Anolis sagrei: one gene and its partners. The main gene of each other region encodes a partner of the protein of the gene in region 3 in a complex. Links are inferred from orthologs where the notes say so. Each region holds a gene or a part of one and is shown on either strand. Other genes may lie near its edges.

Region 1 (7,967 bases), on a different chromosome or scaffold from region 3:
GCACTAGAGTTTACTGGCTAAATTGCAAATCCCCAGATTCTATGAGATTGAACCATGTCAGTTTGTGGAATTGTATTGCTTTAACTGTGCAAAGGAGCCCCAGAGTTGCAAGCAAGTGATATCCACAGGCAAGCTGCAAGCTCTTACTGAGCTGACTTCAGCTTATGGAAAAGGACATGGTTTTGAGTCACAGCCAAATAATACTGTCAGGAAGGAGATGAATAGTCTTGCAAATGTCCTCCACCCACGACAAGCTATCCCAGTAAAAGGATGTTATGTTCCATAGGGCAATGACTCCCCAGATCCACCACTCAGCACAGCCAACAGCTGCTTTGGTCAACGGCTGTGGCGTTGAGGTTGAGGTAGGGCTAAGCCTTTGGCCTGTTGTAAACTGGTCATGTTCTCAAAGTGTTGGCCTCCACTTGAAATACCCCTTTCCACTACTTTTTGCCCAGAGGGAGTTTGCGAGATTTTGTGATTTATAGGTAAAGAAAAGAGAACATTCTCACATGCTGCTTATTTCTTTCAACAAAACATAGCAGCATTGTACTAAGGCTCCCAATAATAATAATAATAATAATCATCATCATCATCATCATCATCATCATCATCATCATCATCATCTTTATTTATACCCCGCCACCATCTCCCTAAAGGGTACTTGGGACGGCTTACATGAGGCCATGCCCATCAATACAGAAACACAATATAACACAAAAACATAACTGAAAATCAGAAAATAAAATAACATAAAGTACAAAAATACAAAATGTAAATATACAGCACAACAATATAAAATCAAAATATTAAACCACTAAAAATGAACACAATGGACAGGGCCAGTTCAAAGATTAAAAAATTAAAACACTGGGAGATAGGGCAGTGTAAAATATCAGGAAGGGGATCCGGGGGATAAGGTAAGAGTTCATTGCACAAACCAGAGAATAAAGTGTGTCTGAGGACATTTTATGCAGAGTTTGGTCAGGGACAGGGGCGGCTCAACCCATTACACAAAGTAAGCATTTGCAGTATAGTTGATTTTGCCCAGGGGCGCTCTTTAGGCGCTCTTGGGGGAAAATAGACCTTGACATATGTGAGTTGTAGTTACTGGGATGTATAGTTCACCTACAATCAAAGAGCATTCTGAACACCAATGATGGAATTGAACCAAATATGGCACACAGAACTCCCACGACGAACAGAAAATATATATCACTGATTGGTTGAGGGGGAGGGCAAAATACTGTTTGCTTACCATTGAAAATTGCCTAGGGCCGCCTCTGGTCAGGGATTATCATACATTCAGTCATTGAAGGCACATTGGAACAGCCAAGTTTTCAGGCTCCTCCTAAAGATTTCCAGGGTGGGGGCTGGCCTAATATCTCTGGAGAGTGTATTCCAGAGCCAATGGGCCACCACAGAGAAGGCCCTGTCTCTCGTTCCCACAAGTCATGCTTGTGATGAAGATGGGAGCGAGAGAAGGGCCTCTACGGAAAATCGAAGAGGTCGCATGGGTTCGTAGACAGAAATATGGTTGTGCAGGTAGGCGGGCCCCAAACTGTTTAGGGCTTTGTAGATCAAAACCTGCACCTTGAATTGGGCCCGAAAAATAAATGGCAGCCAGTGGAGCTCCTTAAACAGGGGGGTTGACCGCTCCCTGTAGCTCACACCAGTTAGTAGTCTGGCTGCCGCTCGTTGGACCAGTTGGAATTTCTGGGCTGTCTTCAAGGGCAGCCCCACGTAGAGCGCATTGCAATAGTCCAATCTAGAGGTAACTAAGGCATGGACCACCGTGGCCAAATCTGACTTCATGAGATACGGTCATAGCTGGCGCACGAGCTTCAATTGTGTGAAGGCCCTCCCAGCCACCGTCGACACCTGAACTTCAAGCATTAGCGCAGAATCTAGGAGGACACCCAAGCTGTGGACCTGTGACTTCAGGGGGAGTGCAACCCCATCAAGAACAGGTTGCCACCCTATAAGAAGTTATGGGTGAGTGGAGGGGATCACTCTGGGAAAGGGGGAGCCCAAGGTCTCACTATACATAAAAAGCAGTCTGATGACAAATCCCAGACCTACTGCTTCCATGCTACAAGCCGGTTTTGTTTCTGGACTGGAAACTGTTGGTCAGGAGCAGGGTATTTCTCTTAGGGCTACACCTATCTCTTGAGTGTCAGCTCCTGGCCTCTAGCCTATGCACACTGACATCAGGAATTAGATCTCCACAGGTCACAGCAGCCTTGTGCATTTATGGCTTATGGCAAATGCTTCCAGAAAGACAAATGCTTTCATTTTCCCATGCAAAATGAATAGTCACATATGCTCTTTACCATCATCAAGCAGAGAAAGACCAGCCCCGACGCAAGGTCACAAACACCTTGTTTTTGTTTCATTTGAGAGCTTGCTGCACTGTGCTAGCTTTTAATCCAACAGATTCAACATTTTTGTTTCGTATTTTTGGAGGTCACTTGCATTTAACAAAGCAGTATATGAAACATTCATCAGAACCAAACTACATAAAGTGGTCATGGACCACTCAGCAAGGGATAACTGTATTCTGGCCTTGATTCTGTCATCGATGATGCCACACAGAAATAACACATATTCCAGAGTAACATTTAACTGAAACTATCTTTTTGTGGCACTTTTTGTTAAATGTTATTTTTCTGCCCTTGATGTCTTGGATCAATCTTCCCCCTCATGCTTGCATGGCCACTCTAAAAGAGATATGGACATAGAGCAAGAAAGAGCATGCAACCCAGCCAATAGGGTATTAGAGGAAACAAGAAGTTCATCCAAAGCTCAGCCCTTCCCCCACTCTCCCCTGTGCCTCAAAGGCATCATACATACCCATCTCCGACCACCACACACTTGATGGCTTGCATATCTGTGGCCTGGCGATGCTGTGGAGTTCAGCAGGTCTCTCGAATAAAGGTAACAGCTCACCAACGTTGCCGGCAGGAAGTGTTCTACAGTTATATCAAAACCAAAGCTGAATTGAACAGCAGGTTGTGGGTTAGGGAGGAAAGGGAAGAGAGAATGTTTCTCAACCCGCCCACTAGTCCCCAAGGCAGCCCTGACTGTGTGCTGGGGGAAGGGTGTGCAGCTTCAAATATATTTCTCTCTTTGCATGCTGCAGATAGCTAAGCACTTCCTTTTTCATCACACTGTGTGGCTTAGTCTTTGGACACTAAAAAGAGGTTGCAATGCAGTTTCTACACAGGAAGGAGAACCATCCAGAGGAGCAGAAGGAAAGTGGGAGAAAGAACAAACCCCAGAAAGAGATATTTTCCCTCTTTCTCTTTCAGTTGAGAAGAAGATGGCTGGGTGAGAGTGGCTTGCCATTATAGCTGTCTCTGGAGCCTTGGTGAAGAAACACCTTTTCTTCTCTTGTCAAAAGAAATACATTTCTTTTTTAAGATACAGAAAATTACAGTTTTTAAAAATCGTCCACAACATTGTCTCATATTTCCATGAAACCCAGGTGTGCCCATCTTCCTGTGAATAGGTGGGATACACTGGTGGGTGTACATGGAATGCTTTGAGTGGTTCATCCTTCCATTGCTGCCAGCAGATTTGCCCTTGCTGCCATTTTTGCTACTGCTTTTTCTGCCACTGTCCAACACACAACCATTCTTCTTGGAAATAGGAAACTTTGAAAGCATTACACATAGTTTTCTTTTTTTCAGAAGTATGCTTCATACTGTAGTTGCCATGACATGAACTACAACGGGGCCAGTTATCATAAGGGGGAATTCCTCTCCTATTGCAATCATTGTATGCATAATTTCTAAATAGGTTTACTTAGAAACAAGTAAAGCAAACTTAGGAAACTAGCCTTGTGCTCTTCATATTCCATGTTTCCCAGTATAAATGTTGGAATTTGGGCAGCACTAGCAACAGATGTTTTGGTAGTGGACATTCAAGGGAGGGAGAAGAGAAAATGTTTGCATTGTAACTGCAGGCTACATGCTGTCCATCCCTGCTTTAATTTAGGAATACTCTTACTTGCAGTAATACCAGCCCAAGATATGTTGGTCCCTGCAAAGGAAGACCTGGTGATGTCCTCCTAGTCCATATACAAAAGGTGAAAGGACTGGCAGTTAAATCTTATTACTACTTTGGTGAAGGGAAAATCTGCTTCATTCCAGTTGAGTACAGCAACTTAGCTTAGAAGGAATCCCACTGGAGCATTGCAGTACATCCACATACCTGGGAGTTACCCTGGACCACGCTCTGACTTACAAGAAGCACTGCTTGAATATCAAGCAAAAAATGGGTGCTAGAAACAATATCATACGAAAGCTGGCTGGCACAACCTGGGGATCACAACCAGATACAGTGAAGACACCTGCCCTTGTGCTATGCTACTCTGCTGCTGAGTACAAATGCCCACTGTGGAACACATCTCACCATGTCAAAACAGTGAATGTGGCTCTTAATGAAACATGTTGCATTATCCCAGGATGTCTATGCCCTACACCACTGGAGAAATTAAGCTGTTTAGCCGGAATTGCACCACCTGACATCTGCTGGGAAGTAGCAGCCAGTATTGAAAGAACCAAGGCAGTGACATCTCCACCCTTTCCCCTGTTTGGATATCAGCCAGCATGCCAATGCCTCAAATCAAGAAATAGTTTTCTAAGATCTAAAGAGATACTTGCAAGAATACCTCAGCAAGTGAGAGTCCAAAAGTGGCAGGCTAAAACCCAGAGCCTCAAGCCATGGCTGATACCGAATGCGAGACTCCCCCCTGGGCACCCAGGAGACTGGGCAAGCTGGAAGGTGCTAAACAGACTGCGCTGTGGCACCACCAGATGCAGACCCAACCTTAAGAAATTAGGCCACAAAGTGGAGTCCACAAGATGCGGGTGAGTAGAAGAGCAAACCACAGACCACCTATTACAATGCTTTCTAAGCCTTGCCATATGCACAATGGAGGACCTGCTTATAGCAACACCAGAGGCACTCCAAGTGGCCAGTTACTGGTCAAAGGACATTTAGTATAATGCCAAGTTTTTTAAACTTTGTGTTTTAAAAATATATTATACCTGAACCCTCGGTTTGCTTCTGATACGATAAATAAAATAGCTTAGGGTGTACAGGCCAGATTGTGTGGCATGTACAATTCTGTTATTTAACACCTTTTCGCGAGCAACCACTGCCTGTGGTGGTTTCCTCAGCCCAGTATTAAGGCTAGCCTTGACCAGACCCGCTATTCAATAGCCTCTAATGACCTTAACTCTGCACTGTAACATTTCAGCAATCATAGCAAATGAGATACAATTATCATAAGGAAATCAGAAAACCAGCATGCAAGGAAGCAAGAGAGACATGTTACCAATGAGTCATGGAATCATCCACATATCCTACTGTCATACCCAGTTTATATGCATCCATCAGTTAACAAATTCCATAAAAAATTAACCCTGTAATCACAATTACAACTATCACAGCAATTTTCTTTGTCATCTTGTCACATCTTCACAGAGGCACCCTTTATAATTTCCTTGTCTGACACACTAGATAACTAATAATTAGTAAATAATGATACAAAAGAAAGCAACAGGATCACTGTATTTGGATCAACGCATTCACTTTGCTGCCATCATGCATGATTTGTGCCTTGGATGGTCACCTGCTCTTCATTAGAGTCATCTGTTTGAAGGTGCCCTCCACTATTTGAAGATCATCTCAGTCCAAATCCATCTTCCACACATAACTCTACTGGAAGAAGACTTGAAGTTCCTGGATAGCAGATTGAAATTTGTGGTTTTGTGAGATATTTAACCTTCTCTTCCAAATCCCATGAATCCATAGGATGGGGCCGTGTCATTTAATAATTTTGCAGTGTAGCTGGTCTATGTTTCCTTTTCACTGTAGTTGAGATATAGTTCTATTTAAATTGTACATCCCCAAATAAATTAACATACTGTAGATACTCCTGTATAAATTGACCTCCTGTATAAATAGTTGTGGCCATACAACCATTCAAAAATTCCAGAAGTAGTTCCAAGGCACAGAGCTTAGAGTGGGTCAGTTCTTCTTTTAGGTTCTCCTGGAATGAACTAAGCTATTGTTTTTTGCCTCTCTGCTTAGAGAAGGGGGTGGTTGATTTTCTGATATGAGTTAAGCTACAGCATTCACATTGTTGTTGTTCATTCGTTCAGTCGTCTCCGACTCTTCGTGACCTCATGGACCAGCCCACGCCAGAGCTCCCTGTCGGCCGTTACCACCCCCAGCTCCCTCAAGGTCAGTCCAGTCACTTCAAGGATGCCATCCATCCATCTTGCCCTTGGTCGGCCCCTCTTCCTTTTGCCGCATTCACATTAACCTATGGATAAATCAACCCAGTTTTTCAGTTGATTTTTTATTAAAATTTCTAGACTTATTCATGAGTATATACTGTAGGATATGTATGTAGATTTTATGCAAACCTGTGATCCATTTTTTGAGTTAGGCACTTTCCCCTTTTATGTTAGCAGCTGTGGCCCTCTAGATGCTTTTGGACTACCATTCCCTTCAACCCTAGCTAACAACAATAAGGGGTTATGGTAACTGCAGTCCAAAAACATCTGGAGGACAACAGTTGTCAACCTTGATCAAGATGTTCACACACCTATCAGACCTAGAAGACAAAACAGCAAGTCTATGGTGCAAAGAAGGGGCATCTTGGAGCTTTATTTATTTAAAAAGTGATGTGCTATATTTTACCATCAGTAACATTACATCAGGAATTGCTTGGTTATTTCAATAATGGCTTTCATTAATCACTACCATGCCCTACTTAACATTTAATTATCACATAATTAATAATTGCAGTTTCATTTTATATTAGCCAATAATTGCCAAACAGACTCCAGGTCCTCTGTCCATTATGAATCAGTTGTAGAGTCATGGGAAGGCAATATTGCCACTGTGGAAATAGATAATGGCTTTAAATACCACGAGGTTGACAAAGCTTTTCACAGCATTCCTGCTTTCTTGGGAAAAGGGGCAGGAATGTAAAAGATAAAAATGGTAGGGATGTAAAAGATACAAAATAGCAGCAATTCACAAATGGCAAAGTACATGAAATTAAGAGAGCCAAAATCCACGGCAGTCAGTCAAACATAAATCCATAAACATAAAAACAGGAACTTTTTCCAAGCAAACCCTCCCAGGAATGAGGGCAAAGATAGAAAATTTGATTCATGGCCTCCACATATCATGTTGCTGCTGGTGAACAGGTGGTGGACCTGAAGTGAGAAACGAAATTCACTGGGGCCTGAGGCCACTATTGCTGGCCCTATTCCTACACTCTGCTTTTTGGTAATGGTGAGATCAGGTCATTGCCAGAACCAAGGGTAAAAGTATAAGTCTTTACATAGTCACTGGGAATGTGGTACCTGATGTTATGTGTTTCTGCCCCTTTGATCAACAACTAACAATGGCTGCAGAATATGTGACCTTCCAGATGTTAACATGCTGCCTCTTCCATAGTCCCCCACCAATGGCCACTTAGATGGGTTTGATAGGGATTAGTATCCAATATAAGATTGACAGGGAAAAATAAGGGTTGTCAAAGCAGAACTGTGTTAACATAAAGCGTGTAAATACACTGCACATGAATCACAAAACAAAACTGAATGTTACTTAGTTATCTTGTAGTCCTTGAGACAGTAAATTATCTTCAAATACTGTCTAAATTAAGTCCAAATGATATCCAGTTCAAAATATAATCCAAATGATGATACGACAAGGATCCCCGGGTTGAGGTTGCCTTGTTTCGGGGGACTTCACCTTCTTCAGGGTTTGTCTTCTTTTTGAAAGTGGGTGGTTCACACCATACATCCCTAAATGGGTGATAACAACAACATAATAGATATGCCAAAAAAGGCACCCAAACAAAAAACATTCAGTGATAATAACATGCATTCCAGTGAGATAGACTACACACACATTATTACTCGTGCTATAAATGAGAC
Region 2 (7,445 bases), on a different chromosome or scaffold from region 3:
TGGAATTGAACCAAATATGGCACACAGAACTCCCATGACGAACAGAAAATATATATCAGTGATTGGTTGGGGGCGGGGGTGTGTGTGTGTGTGCAAAATACTGTTTGCTTACCGTTGAAAATTACCTAGGGCCACCTCTGCCTTCAAGGTCAATCCAGTCACTTCAAGGATGCCATCCATCCATCTTGCCCTTGGTCGGCCCCTCTTCCTTTTTCCTTCCATTTTCCCCAGCATCATTGTCTTCTCTAAGCTTTTCTTTCTTCTCATGATGTGGGCAAAGTACTTCATCTTGGCCTCTACTATTCTTCCCTCCAATGAGCAGTCAGGCTTTATTGGATCTTCTCGCTGTCCAAGGCACTCTCAGAATTTCCTCCAACACCACAGTTCAAAAGCATCATAGAATCAAAGAGCTGGACGAGACCTCATGGGCCATCCAGTCCAACCCCCTGCCAAGAAGCAGGAATATTGCATTCAAAGCACCTCTGACAGATGGCCATCCAGCCTCTGTTTAAAAACTTCCAAAGAAGGAGCCTCCACCACACTCTGGGGCAGAGAGTTCCACTGCTGAACGGATCTCACAGTCAGGAAGTTCTTCCTCATGTTCAGATGGAATCTCCTTTCTTGTAGTGTGAAACCATTGTTTCGTGTCCTAGTCTCCAGGGAAGCAGAAAACAAGCTTGCTCCCTCCTCCCTGTGGCCTCCTCTCACATATTTATACATGGCTATCATATCTCCTCTCAGCCTTCTCTTCCACGTCTCTCTGGCTGCAAAAGGTCCACTGTATTTCCCTGTACCCCAGGCTCCAAAGTAGGACAAGGCCACATCTCTCTGGCCACTAAAGGCACGCTGCCTCACTATTTCAATGTCTCCCAGGCTCCAAGTGGGACTAGGCCGCGTCTCTCCATCGACACCATGTTTGTTGTTGTTCTTCTGACAGGACTGAGTTACCCTGTAGAAGAGCAGGATGTTTCTAGACAGGCTTAGAACAGGACACTTCACTACTGGCTGTTAAGAACTGTGGGAGTTGGGAGTCCAAAACACCTACGAGTCTGGCCTCAAAACCGGCATGGCTGACTTCGGCTGTTGGTTGTCAGCAATGGTCTGTTTCAGAATTACGGCATCCATGAGGCCCTTTGTCCTTTCAACAGGCCCTTCTCCAAATAGGCCTCTTTCTTGGGACGCAAAACGCCCGCCGTCCCTCCATTTTGTTGCTATTGAGGGTACAAGTGAGCCTAGGCTGCGTCTCTCTGGCTGCATCTATCTTCCTTCGCTCAGTCTTCCCTATGGTCCAGCTCTCACATCCATAGGTAACTATGTGGAATACCATTGCTTTTACTATGCGGATCTTTGTTGCCAGTGTGATGTCTCTACACTATTTTATCAAGTCCTTTACTAGCGACTCTGAGATTGTTTCCCCTCAGACTGGTATAAAATCCACATTGAGCTGGGTTATATGGCAGTGTGGACTCAGATAATCCAGTTCAAAGCAAATATTGTCGATTACCTCGTGTTTAAAAGATGTTAACTTGCGCAATACTGCAGCAGCTTCCTTTTTATATATAGCTTCTTACCACAGGTAGGCCGGGTTTGACCCATCACTGACTCTTGAAATCTTCACTAGAGATCCTGAGTTAACACATCTTTTCCATCTTCATAGCTATGATACTTCATCTTGCTGATGGGAAGCTTCCCACCGGAGTGGAAATCATCTATCAGACAGCTATTTAACCTCAGCAGACTGAAAGCCAAAACCAAGGTTACAACAACATTTATTATAGAACTCCAGTATGTTGATGACAACGTTGTCTGTGCGCATTCAGAAGACCTACAAGTCACTCTAAATACCTTTGCAGAAGCATACGAGCAGCTCGGCCTGTCATTAAACATCGAGAAAACCAGTGCTCTTCCAGCAGTCACCAGCCAGTCCCTCTCCAATGCCAGAAATACAGCTTAATGGTGTAACACTAGAAAATGTCGACCATTTCCGCTACCTTGGCAGCCACTTCTCCACAAAAGTCAACATTGACACTGAAGTACAACACTGCCTGAGCTCTGCGAGTGCAGCATTTTTCTGAATGAAGCAGAGAGTGTTTGAGGACCGGGACATCCGTAGGGATACCAAGGTGCTTGTTTATAAAGCTATTGTCCTCCTAACTCTGCTATATGCCTGTGAGATATGGACTATCTACAGACGTCACATGCAACTCCTGGAACGATTCCATCAGTGCTGCCTCCGGAAAATCCTGCAAATCCCTTGGGAAGACAAGCGGACAAATGTTGGAAGAAGCATGCTGGAAGAAGCAAAGACCACCAGCATTGAAGCGATGGTCCTCTGCCATCAACTCCGCTGGACCGGCCACGTTGTCCGAATACCCAACCACCATCTCACAAAGCAGTTTCTCTACTCCGAACTCAAGAACGGAAAACGGAATGTAGGACAGGAAAAAAGATTTAAAGATGGGCTCAAAGCCAACCTTAAAAACTCTGGCATAGACACTGAGAACTGGTAAGCCCTGGCCCTTGAGCGCTCTAATTGGAGGTCAGCTGTGACCAGCAGTGCTGTAGAATTTGAAGAAGTATGAATGGAGGGCGAAAGAGAGAAACGTGTCAAGAGGAAGGTGCATCAAGCCAACCCCGACCAAGACCACCTTCCACCTGGAAACCAATGCCCTCACTGTGGGAGAAGATGCAGATCAAGAATAGGGCTCCACAGTCACCTACGGACCCACCAGAACACTGATCCTGGAAGACTATCCTACTCAGCCAATGAGGGATTGCCTAAGAGAGGAAGAATTTGGGAGGTGGGCTAGTTGTTAATCCAACTCACAAGCAAAAAAGTAGATAATAGTATTCTATGGAAGTACCAGTTGGGCAACTTGCTTGTGAAGTCGGTAGGAAGTTTAGGAGGGTCGTCTCCAGGAGGAGGGACCCTGAGACCCCACCAAAGAGGGATCGCTACTTTGGCGAGCTAGAGAAGCCTGATTTCAGCCAATTTATTAAATTAAAAAATTCAAAATAAATCTCACCAAAGTTGAAGAAGTGGCACTGAGGTGTTTTTATTAGTGATTCAGCTGAAAAGGATGCAATGTAGCAATCATTCGCCTACAAATCATGCCAGTACAAAGATCAGAGACATTTTTATAATAAGGTTTACAGGCTTAGAAGTTTCAAAATTCCCGCCCTCCGCCCTGATGATTGGCTGACGTGATTCCAGCTGGGAGGGGGCCAAAGCCAACTACAGAGCTCCTCCGCTGTGCAGGAACCAATTGGAGAGCTCCTACCGCCTCAGCGCTCCGGCGAATCAGGAGAGGGGAGGTGGGACGAAGAAGAAACAATGGGTTCATGAATGGATTAATGGATTTCATGCCTGGGGGAATCCTGAGTCTGAGACTTCAGCCTGCAAAGGATGCCAGTCTATTGTCTTTTGATGGGTCTTGTTGATTACTTTATCCGGGTCTTCCTGCCCGCCAGAGAAATTGATTAAAATAATAATTTTGATAAAACATGTGTCCATAGTTCATACTGGGGAAGTTCAAACGTGAAAATAAGTTCATTAGAGCCAAAAATGATGTGTAGGAAGTCCAATAGTCAGAAAAGGAGCTGGGTGATTTCCATTGAGCCAAGGAAGGGATTCTTGCAGCGCCAAGATCAAGCTGGTCCTTAGTCCTTGGAAAACTATAACTCCCTCCAAGGACTGGGGCCTCAAGGCCAGGCTCTTCCCTGAAAGCCTCATGGGGTCCTTGTTGTTGTTAGTGTCTTTGACAAATTGACCAAGACTTAACCCCTTTGTGCAATCTGGTACCCTTGCCCTTTGCAGAACTATAAGTTACCATCCCTTATTGGGGGGACGGACGGACATGCTCGACTTCACTTGTGTTTAAAAGATGTTAACTTGAGCAATCCTGCAACAGCTTCCTTTTTATGTATAGCTTCTTACCACAGAGAGGCCGGGTTTGACTCTTGAAATCTTCACGACAGATCCCGAGTTAACACATCATGAAAGGGAAGCCCAATGATTTTATTTTAAGACTCTTATGGAAAGTGAAATTCAGAAAAAGGAAGGCGTGACTGCAGTCGCATGATGAGAAGTCAACGTCAGACAGTGCAAGCAACCTGAGCAGAGGATCACAGACAATGCTCTGTCCTGAAAGCAGCTTCTTCTTTGGGCAATCTTCCAGCCCGTGTGGCATTACTTCCTCTGTCAAGCCTGGCCCCTCTTTCAGTTATGAGTTCAGTGATGAGACTTCCTGGTCTGTTTGCAATTGCAACACTGGTGAGCTTCGAGAGGGGGAGCAGAATGCATACCTGATGTGCAAGGGGAGCTTGCCTGGTGGATTGTGAGAGCCCCTTGCTTGCAACTGAATAGATTCCAGTTTGGCCATGGCCCTTGTAGAGACAATTCGACTGTGGAGTGAAGGGGTGTCTGCAGCTGACCGCAAAGACTGGCCGGCTGCTCTGTCTGCCTTCACTTCGGTTCCAAATCCTTCCTCCAAAATCTGCTTTAACATTGGCTGCACCCACCTGGTCATGGGGAATTTGGATGAGGCACAGCAGGTAGGTGGCCAAGAAAACTGAAATATTCTCCCCAAAAGCAGCTTAACAAGCCCAACAAGTAAACCTGGATGGCTGCAGGAGTCCTTCCATGGAACTAGTAGGGAGAGATGGGAAAAGAAGCCATTTAAAAACAGGTTAGCTGTGTCCCTGTTATTAAGTCAGGATTTCTGAGCTGCTGTTGGTTTGTGGAAGGCTTTCATGGCTGGAATCACTGGGTTGTTGTACGTTTTTCGGTCCATATGGCCATGTTCTAGAAGTCCGTCGTTTCGCCTAACAACCTCGGGGGATGCTTGCCATAGATGCAGGCGAAACGTCACGAGAGAATGCTTCTAGAACATGGCCATATAGCCCGAAAAAACCTGCAACAACCTGCTCTTGGTTTGATTGGTGAATGACCAAAAAAATATGGACTGCTAGCTAAACTTACTTGTTTTCCTTCCCTGTTCCTACTCTATTTCCTTTTTCATTTTCAAATGGCAGGGGGTTACAACAGATTTAGGGGTGTGCGAAACATTCTGGTTTCAATGTATTGTCAAAGGCTTTCATGGCCGGAATCACTGGGTTGTTGTAGGTTTTTCCAGGTTATATGGCCATGTTCTAGAGGCATTTTCTCCTGACGTTTCGCCTGCATCTATGGCAAGCATCCTCAGAAATAGTGAGGTCTGTTGGAAGTAGGAAAATGGGTTTATATATCTGTAGAATGGCCAGGGTGGGACAAAACTCTTGTCTGCTGGAGCTAGGTGTGAATGTTTCAACTGACCACCTTGATTAGCATTTGATGGCTTGGCAGTGCCTGGGGGAATCTTTTGTTGAGAGGTGATTAGATGTGCCTGATTGTTTACTCTCTGTTGTTTTGCTGTTGTAATTTTAGAGTTTTTTAATATTGGTAGCCAGATTTTGTTCATTTTCATGGTTTCCTCCTTTCTGTTGAAATTGTCCACATGCTTGTGGATTTCAATGGCTCTTCTGTGTAGTGTGACGTGGTCTAGCATTTCTGTGTTCTCAAATAATATGCTGTGTCCATGTTGGTTCATCAAGTGATCTGCTATGACTAACCTTTCTGGTTGAAGTAGTCTGCAGTGCCTTTCATGTTCCTTGATGCGTGTCTGGGCAATGCTGCGTTTGGTGCTCCCTATGTAGACGTGTCCACAGCTGCATGGTACACGGTAGACTCCTGCAGAAGTGAGAGGATCCCTCTTGTCCTTTGCTGAACGTAGCATTTGCTGGATTTTCTTGGTGGGTCTGTAGATAGTTTGTATGTTGTGTTTCCTCATCAGCTTCCCAATGCGGTCAGTGGTTCCCTTGATATATTGCAAGAACACTTTTCCTCAGGGTGGATCTTTGTCTTGACTCTCATGGCTTGTTCTCGTGGCTTGTTTATATAGACTAGCCGTCCCCTGCCAGGCCTTGCTGTGGCCCAGTCTGGTGATCTGGAAAATAAAGTAATGAGAAAGCATTGGTTTCTAATATATGTAATTTTTTTATGCTTGTGGGTAAACAGTATTTCTTATTGTTTCTTTGTCAGTGTTAATGTGAAGATTGTCTGGTTTGCCTACTCTGGAACATGCAACATATTGTCCTTCTTTAGGAGTCCCTTTCAAATCTATGATACTATATCTCTGTGTGTGTGAATCACATCTATCTATATTTATGGCTGGATGGCTCTTTGTCATGAGGGCTTTGATTATGTTTTCTTGCCCTGGTGAAGGGAGTTGGACTGGATAGCATTGAGTATTTTCTCTTGGTCATGGAGGTTCTGTGTGGGAAGTTTGCCCCAATTCTGTCATTGGTGGGGTTCAGAACAATCTTTGATTGTAGGTGAACTATATCCCAGTAACTACAACTCCCAAATGTCAAGGTCTATTTCCCCCAAACCCCATCTGTGTTCATATTTGGGCATATGGAATATTTGTGCCAAGTTTGGCCCAGGTCCAGATCCATCATTGGTTGAATCCATGGTACTCTCTGAATATAGGTGAACTACAACTCCCAAACTCAAGCTCAATGCTCACCAAACCCTTCTGGTGTTTTCTATTCTTCATGGGAGTCCTTTATGCCCCGTTTGGTTCAATTCTATCCTGCTATTTGATTGTAGGTGAACTATAAATCCCAGCAACTACAACTCCCAAAAGACAAAATCAAAAAATTTTGAGTGAAGGATACATTGGGTTGTTAGGTGTATGCTGTCCAAATTTGTTGTCAATTCGTCCAGTGGGTTTTGAGTTATGTTAATACCACAAACGACTGTTACATTTTTATTTATATAGATTGTGCCCCATCAGTTTGTGCTGGCAATGCCTGGCAACCCAGAAGTCCCAAACTGCTGTATCTATAATACTTTTCAAGAGGTATTATTTTTGCTTCCTTCAGGCCTTTACCAGGAGTACCAACAATGACAGACACTTAGCAGTGGCATATTTCCAGCGAGGAATTGTGGCGTACCAGATGGAAAAGTGAGTTGTAACATATTGGGCACCTTAAAAAAGGAGCGGAATGTTTTCTTATTCTGTTGTTCATCCTTGCAACCACTTTCTCCTTAATCTGTTAGAACAGTGCTATGTTTAGTTTCCTATTTTGCAAACCTTATGTACCAGCATGTACCAACAGAAGATTCTCGGATCCATATAAATTGTACAGCTCAGTGCTGTTTTTTAATGCAGAGAGAGACATAGCTGCCCACACAAAACCGTGAAAGTTATTTCTGTGTGTATGTGTCTCTTTCTTAAAAGAATTGGGAATTTAATGTGGCAGACCAGTTCCCTCCTTCATATCAAATTCCCAAATGTTACTTCTATTTTTCCATTTATGGTATATAAATGGAAAAATATTAGCATTAGTGGGATTAGCATAACTCAAAAACCACTGGACAAATTGACACCAAATTTGGACAC
Region 3 (7,978 bases):
TGCTGGCGATGGCGACATCACTGCTCAAGCAGGGAGCTTTGAAATGGTTGAACAAAAACTCTCCAAAGCTTTAGGTTCTCTTACTGCCTTTTACAGGGAAAACTGATTCCTAATCCATCCAAAACACAGACATATGCTTTTCACCTTAAGAACAGACAAGCATCCCGAACTCTGAGGATGACCTGGGAAGGAATCCCACTGGAGCATTGCAGCACACCCAGACACCTGGGAGTGACCCTGAACTGTGCCCTGACTTACAAGAAACACTGCTTTACCAGCAAGCAAAAAATGGGTGCTAGAAATAATATCGTATGGAAGCTGACTGGCACAACCTGGGGATCATAACTAGACACAGTGAAGACACCTGCCCTTGCACTTGGCTACTCCGCTGCTGAATACGAATGCCCAGTGTGGAAAACATTACACCATGTCAAAACAGTTGATGTGGCTCTTAATGAAACATGGTGCATTATTGCAGGACGTCTATGCACTACACCACTGGAGAAATTATACTGTTTAGCCGGTATTGCACCACCTGATATCTGCCGGGAAGTAGCAGCCAGAAATGAAAGGACCAAGGCAGTGACATCTCCAGTCTATCCTCTGTTCAGATATCAAGCCAGCATGCCAATGCCTTAATTCAAGAAACAGCTTCCTAAGGTCTACAAAGATACTTGCAGGAACACCTCAGCAAGCGAGAGTCCAAAAGTGGCAGGCTAAAACCCAGCACCTTAATTAGTGGCTGAGACCAAATGAGAGACACCCTCCTGAACACACAGAAGACTGGGAGACTTGGAAGGCACTGAGCAGGCTGTGCTCTGGCACCACGAGATGCAGAGCTAACTTTAAGAAATGGGGCCACAAAGTTAAGTCCATGACATGCGAGTGTGGAGAACAGCAAATCACAGACCACCTATTACAGTGTGGCCTGAGCCCTGCCACATGTACAACGGAGGACCTTCTCACAGCAAAACCAAAGGCATTCCAAGAGGCCAGCTTCTGATCAAACAACATTTCACATAATGTATTGTTGAAGGCTTTCGTGGCTGGAATCACTGGGTTGTTGTGAGTTTTCTGGGTTGTATGGCCATGTTCCAGCAGCATTCTCTCCTGACGTTTCGCCTGCATCTATGGCAGGCATCCTCAGAGGTTGTCAGACCTCACAACCTCTGAGGACGCCTACCACAGATGCAGGCGAAACATCAGGAGAGAATGCTGCTGGAACATGACCATACAGCCTGGAAAATCACAACAACCCATTTAGCATCATGCCACGTTTTTTTTTTTTTAAAAAAAAACAACTTTAAATGCATTTTAACTGTACCCTCAATGTGCTTCTGACACGATAAATTAATTGCTCTTTCGGCAGGAAAAGGCTCAAAAGCCTTGGAATACTACAACTTCACAGAATGGAGCACTTCAAAGAGTCATGCCCAAAGTTGCTGTTTGGAGACAAAATGCACAGAAAGGAAGATATGAAACAATGAGCATTTTGTGCACATCCGCACTGTAGAATTAATGCAGTTTGGCATCACTTGAACTCCTATAGCAGCGTTTCTCAACCTGGGGGTCAGGACCCCTAGGGGGGTCGTGAGGGGGGTGTCAGAGGGGTCACCAAAGACCACCAGAAAACACAGTATTTTCTGTTGGTCGTGGGGGTTCTCTGTGGGAAGTTTGGCCAAATTCTATCATTAGTGGGATTCAGAATGCTCTTTGATTGTAGGTGAACTATAAATCCCAGCAACTACATCTCCCAAATGTCAAGGTCTATTTTCCCCAAACTCCATTTGGAAATATTGAGTATTTATGCCAAGTTTGGTCCAGATCCATCATTGTTTGAGCCCACCAGTGCTCTCTGGATGTAGGTGAACTACAACTCCAAAACTCAAGGCCACTGCACACCAAACCCTTCCAGTATTTTTTTGTTGTATATGGGTATTCTGTTTGCCAAATTGGTTCAATTCCAATGTTGGTGGGGTTCAGAATGTTCTTTGATTGTAGGTGAACTATGAATCCCAGCAACTACAACTCCCAAATGTCAAGGTCTATTTTCCCCAAACTCTACCAGTATTCACATTTGGAAATATTGAGTATTCATGCCATGTATGTTCCAGATCCGTCGTTTGAGTCCACAGTGCTCTCTGGATGTAGGAGAACTACAACTCCAAAACACAAGGCCACTGCACACAAAACCCTTCCAGTATTTTTTGTTGTATATGGGTATTCTGTTTGCCAAGTTGGTTCAATTCCATCATTGGTAGAGTTCAGAATGTTCTTTGATTGTAGGTGAACTATAAATCCCAGCAACTACAACTCCCAAATGACAAAATCAATCCCTCCCCCAACCCTACCAGTATTCAGATTTTGACGTATCAAGTATTTGTGCCAAATTTGGTCCAGTGAATGAAAATACATCCTGCAAATCAGATATTTACACGACAATTCATAACAGTAACAACATAACAGTTATGAAGTAGCAACAAAAATAATGTTATGGTTGGGGGTCACCACAACATGAGGAACTGTATTAAGGGGTCGTGGCATGAGGAAGGTTGAGAAACACTATCCTATGGGTTTGTGCTATGGGGATCATGTGGGGGAATGTGGCTTGATGGGTCGCCATCAAACCAAAAAGTTTTGCCAAGCTGCAAGTGCTCTTGATGTCCATAGCTTTGCGCCCTGGCTCTCCAAGTGGTGCCAAAGCGCATTCCTTTGGGCTGTCTTTGGGTGGGTCTTTGGACCCCCCTCCCCTCTATTGATGCCTAGGTCTCCTCCCCCAACAACAAGGAAACAAGCCCCCGACTTTGCAAAGACTCACTCAGCCCCGAAGCCAGCGCCTGCTCGTTGGCCCACATGGCCCACTCGATGCGCCCCATGGCTGCTCCTCCTTTGGCACTCCGGAGGGAGAAAGGGAGGGGAAGGGGCGAAGGGGCCAGAGGGCAGGGATCCGGCCGGGAAGGGCTCCCAGCAGCAGGGCAGGGCTAGTCCGGGCCGCCGGCTACGTCCCTTCCTGCCCCTCCTTCCCTTCCTTTCCCCCCGGTTTGGAGAAGAGAGACGCAGAAAGAAGAGGCACCCGACCTCTCCAAAGGCGCAATGACTGGGGCAAGTTCCTCTTTCCTCTGCCTCCTCCTACAAGGCGCAGAGAACTTTTGCAAAGTTTGCCAAAGAGAGGGGAATCCCAGAGATGGGAGGGACCTCCAAAGGCCATCCAGTCCAGCCCCCTCCTGCCCTGAAAGATACAAGGCAAGCCTTAGCAACAGATGACTATCCAGTCTCAACTTCATGACTTCCAAAGATGGAGACTCCATCACCAGCCACTCCGTTGTGAATGTTTCCATCCTGAACATTAATCGACTCTTATATCCAGAAGGTTTCCTCCAAAGACCATCTACCAACTCCCTTTTGCTATACAGGAAGACACCACCCAAGCCCTCCTGACAGATGACACCATCCAAGCCATCCTGGCTGATGGTCATCCAGCTTCATGAAAAGAAGAGGCACCCGACCTCTCCAAAAGTGCAATGACTGGGACAAGTTCCTCCTATAAGGCGCAAAGAACTTTTGCAAAGGAACCCCAGAGATGGGAGGGACCTCCAAAGGCCATCCAGTCCGACCCCCTCCTGCCCTGCAAGGCACCAGCCAAGCCTTAGCAACACATGGCCATCCAGTCCCAACTTCATGACCTCCAAAGATGGAAACTCCATCACCAGCCACTCCATTGGGAATGTTTCCATCCTGAACATTTATCGACTCTTATATCCAGAAGGTTTCCTCCAAAGACCCTCTGTACCAACCCCCTTCTGCTATATAGGAAGACACCACTCAAGCCCTCCTGACAGATGACACCATCCAAGCCACCCTGGCAGATGGCCATCCAGCCCCAACTTCATGAAAAGAAGAGGCACCCGACCTCTCCAAAGGCGCAACGACTGGGAGAAGTTCCCCTTTCCTCTGCCTCCTCCTACAAGGCGCAGAGAACTTTTGCAAAGTTTGTGAAAGGAGAGGGGAACCCCAGAGATGGGAGGGAACTCCAAAGGCCATCCAGTCTGACCCCCTCCTGCCCTGCAAGGCACCAGCCAAGCCTTAGCAACAGATGGCCACCCAGCCCCAACTTCGCGACCTCCAAAGATGGAGACTCCATCACCAGCCACTCCATTGGGAATGTTTCCATCCTGAACGTTAATCGATTCTTATATCCAGAAGGTTTCCTCCAAAGACCATCTGTACCAACTCCCTTTTGCTATACAGGAAGACACCATCCAAGCCATCGTGGCAGGTGGCCATCTAGACCCAATTTCACGACCTCCAAAGATGGAGACTCCATCACCAGCCACTCCATTGGAAATGTTTCCATCCTGAACATTTATTGACTCTTCTATCCAGAAGGTTTCCTCCAAAGGCCATCTATACCAACCCCCTTCTGCTATATAGGAAGACGCCATCCAAGCCATCCTGGCATATGGCCATCCAGCCCCAACTTCATGAAAAGAAGAGGCACCCGACCTCTCCAAAGGTGCAATGACTGGGGCAAGTTCTCCTTTCCTCTGCCTCCTCCTATAAGGCGCAAAGAACTTTTGCAAAGGAACCCCAGAGATGGGAGGGACCTCCAAAGGCCGTCCAGTCTGACCCCCTCCTGCCCTGCAAGGCACCAGTCAAGCCTTAGTGACAGATGGCCATCCAGCCCCAACTTCATGACCTCCAAAAATGGAGACTCCATCACCAGCCACTCCATTGGGAATATTTCCATCCTGAACATTAATCGACTCTTCTACCCAGAAGGTTTCCTCCAAAGACCATCTATACCAACCCCCTTCTGCTATATAGGAAGACATCATTCAAGCCATTCCTGTATAGCAGAAGGGGGTTGGTATAGATGGTTTTTGGAGGAAACCTTCTGGATATAAATGTTCAGGATGGAAACATTCCCAATGCAGTGGCTGGTGATGGAGTCTCCATCTTTGGAGATCCTGAAGTTGGAGCTGGATGGCCATCTGTTGCTAAGGCTTGGCTGGTGCCTTGCAGGGCAGGAGGGGGTTGGACTGGATGGCCATCACCAGCCATTCCATTGTGAATGTTTCCATCCTTAAAATGTATACTATAATGTATTTGAAAGGGTCCCCCAAAGGCCCTCTATTCCAACCCCCTTCTACCATAAAGACACAATCCAAGCCCTCCTGACAGATGGCCATCCAGCCCCAACTTAATGACCTCCAGGTATGGAGGCTCCCTAATTAGCCATTCCATTCTGAATGCTTCTATCCTGACAATTTATACAATCATATATCTGGAAGGCATATTCCAAAGGCCAGCCCCCTTCTGCCTTGCAAGACATAGTCCAAGCCCTCCCAACAGATGGCCATTCAGCCTCTGCTTGGAAACCTCCTGAGAAAGCGACTTCACTGGGTTCCCAGGCATATATTCCGTTAGCACTTGAAGGCACCCCAAAGGCCATCTATCCCAACCTGAGAATCGCATTGGCCTTTTACGCTGCTGCATCACTGTCTTGACTCTCCTCAATCCCTTTCATTTGCATTGTTTCCAAGCCTGGTGTCCCCCATCCTATACCTCTGCAATTCAGTGATGGTATGAGTGTTAATTTTGCATCTTTATAAGACAGTATTTCTCAACCTGGGGGTCAGGATCCCTGGGGGAGTCATGAGAGGGGTTTCAGAGGGGCCTCCAAAGACCATCAGAAAACAAAAAGCCTTAGGAACCCTTTTGGCAGAAAAGGCTGGCGATCTCTCCACCTGTTCTTCTCTTCCTTTTTGGTGTTGGTGAACTACAAATCCCAGAATTCAGAAACAGCCCCCACCCTATAAATATTCAATGTTGGCTGTTTATGTAATTTGTCAAGTTTGGTGAAGATCCATTGTGGACTGGGATCAGAGTGCTCTTTGATTGTAGGTGAACTGTAAATCCCAGCAACTCCCACATATCAAGGTCTATTTTCCCCAAACTCCACCAGTGTTAACATTTGGACATATTGTGTATTTGTGCCAAGTTTGGTTCAGATCCATCATTGTCTGAGTCCACAGTGCTCTCTGGATGTAGTCGAACTACAACTCAAAAACACAAGGTCAATGCCCACCAAACCCTTCCAGTATTTTCTGTTGGTCAAAGGAGTTCTGTGTGCCAAGTTTGGTTCATTTCTATCGGTGGAGTTTAGAATGCTCTCTGATTGTAGGTGAACTATAAATCCCAGCAAATACAACTCCCAAATGACAATATCTATTTCCTCCCAACCCCACCAGTATTCAAATTTGGACGTATCAGATGTTTGTGCCAAATTTGGTCCAGTGAATGAAAATACATCCTGTTTACATTACGATTCATAACAGGAGCAAAATTACAGTTATGAAGTAGCAACGGAAATAATGTTATGGTTGGGGGTCAAGACAACAAGAGGAACTGTATTAAGGGGTCGCGGCATTAGGAAGGTTGAGAAACACTGGTATAAGAGAAGCAAATCCCCAAAAGAAAACACCAGAGTTCGGATGAAAATTATCGACTTTCACTTCTTTTTAAAAAGCAACCCAGTAAAAATGAAACCAAAGTTGGGGGAAAAGGACAACTGCATTCTCCAGGAGACTTTGTGCAAAGGGAAGAAAGGCAATAGGAAGGCTATCTGCTTGATTTTCTGGAAAAGGAAGTCCCAGAGTTTTCTCTAGTAAGGCAGAAGGTTTCAAAGGTTAGAATGGATTAAAAATATTGAGAGATCAACAGAGAAAACTACAGCCATCCACGTGCTGCTGGATGACAACTTCCATCCTCCTTTGCAGAAGGGATGCTGGGAAATGGTGGAAGACGATGCCAAACCCTGCAATGACCATATATATGGATATACGAGGGGCGTTCATTAAAGATTTCCCCTGACCCACTTCTATTTATCACAGAACACTGAAACCGCCCATGTGCAATGATAGTCTCTATAGGTGACGTGCCAATTTACAACTCAGAACTGAGAACAGTCTTGATGTGACAGGTGCTGAAGTGGTGTGAGGTTTGAGAATGGACCCAGTGGCAGATAGAGTAGTCCTCAAGTTCCTTTTCTTGCAAGGCCACACACCAAAGGGGACGTTTGATGAGATGAAAGAGGTTTATGGGGATGATTCGCCATCATATGACGGATTCAAGAACTGGCATTGTCCATTCCATTGTGGACTGAAGAAAGGGCTAATTATATGAGTGGTGTTCAAGAAAGATTTCCCCTGACCCACTTCTATTGATCACAGGACACTGAAACTACCCATGTGCAATGATATAAGTCTCTAAAGGTGACATGCCAATTTACAACTCAGAACTGAGAACGGTCTTGATGTGACAGGTGCTGAAGTGCAGAGCAGTCCTCAAGTTCCTTTTCTTGCAAGGCCACACACCAAAGGAGACGTTCAATGAGATGGAAGAGGTTTATGGTGATGCTTCCTCATCACAAGATGGAGTCAAGAACTGGCATCCTTGGTTCCAATGTGGTCAGACTTCGGTGCAAACAGCTCCAATTCTAGGGCGACCGCACTCTGCTCTTGATGAACACACCATCCAGCAAGTGGAGGTCACCATTTTGGAAAATCGCCACGTAACCATTCGCCACCTAGCCCAAAATGTCAAGATGAGTGTGGGGTCCGTGGAAAAAAATCACCCAAGACCATCTTCCCATGCATAAAGGATCCACTCGCTGCGTCCCCAGCTGCTCACCTTTCCAGATGCAGGAATGAGCCGAATGCTCGTTGTGTCTATTGTCAATGATGTGCCATGGAAACCAGAAGGACTTTTTCAACAGACTGATCACACAAGGTGAAAGCTGGGTCCATCACTCTGACCCTGAGACTAAAGTCCAGTCGATGCAATGGAAGCATCCTGACTCCCCGCCTCCAAAGGCACGTGCCCAACTCTCATCAGGCAAGGTCATGCTCACAGTATTTTGGGACCAGCACAGAGTAGTATGGGTGGATTTCCTAGCAAAGGGGACCAGGATCACTGG

The links.
Region 1: CYBA (region 3) and RAC2 share a complex: the UniProt entries of both Homo sapiens proteins name them as parts of the phagocyte NADPH oxidase complex. The link is inferred for Anolis sagrei from reciprocal best matches to the Homo sapiens genes CYBA and RAC2.
Region 2: CYBA (region 3) and NCF2 share a complex: the UniProt entries of both Homo sapiens proteins name them as parts of the phagocyte NADPH oxidase complex. The link is inferred for Anolis sagrei from reciprocal best matches to the Homo sapiens genes CYBA and NCF2.

Annotation. Positions count from the first base shown.
Region 1 is NC_090025.1:165,897,743-165,905,709, reverse strand, and holds the start of RAC2 (ras-related C3 botulinum toxin substrate 2), read right to left. Parts: upstream 3,098-7,967; 5' UTR 2,886-3,097; coding exon 2,851-2,885; intron 1-2,850. UniProt on the Homo sapiens protein: Plasma membrane-associated small GTPase which cycles between an active GTP-bound and inactive GDP-bound state.
Region 2 is NC_090024.1:122,473,242-122,480,686, forward strand, and holds the start of NCF2 (neutrophil cytosol factor 2), read left to right. Parts: upstream 1-4,353; 5' UTR 4,354-4,380; coding exon 4,381-4,554; intron 4,555-6,924; coding exon 6,925-7,007; intron 7,008-7,445. UniProt on the Homo sapiens protein: Subunit of the phagocyte NADPH oxidase complex that mediates the transfer of electrons from cytosolic NADPH to O2 to produce the superoxide anion (O2(-)).
Region 3 is NC_090028.1:26,681,202-26,689,179, forward strand, and holds the start of CYBA (cytochrome b-245 light chain), read right to left. Parts: upstream 3,101-7,978; 5' UTR 2,877-3,100; coding exon 2,819-2,876; intron 1-2,818. UniProt on the Homo sapiens protein: Subunit of NADPH oxidase complexes that is required for the NADPH oxidase activity that generates, in various cell types, superoxide from molecular oxygen utilizing NADPH as an electron donor.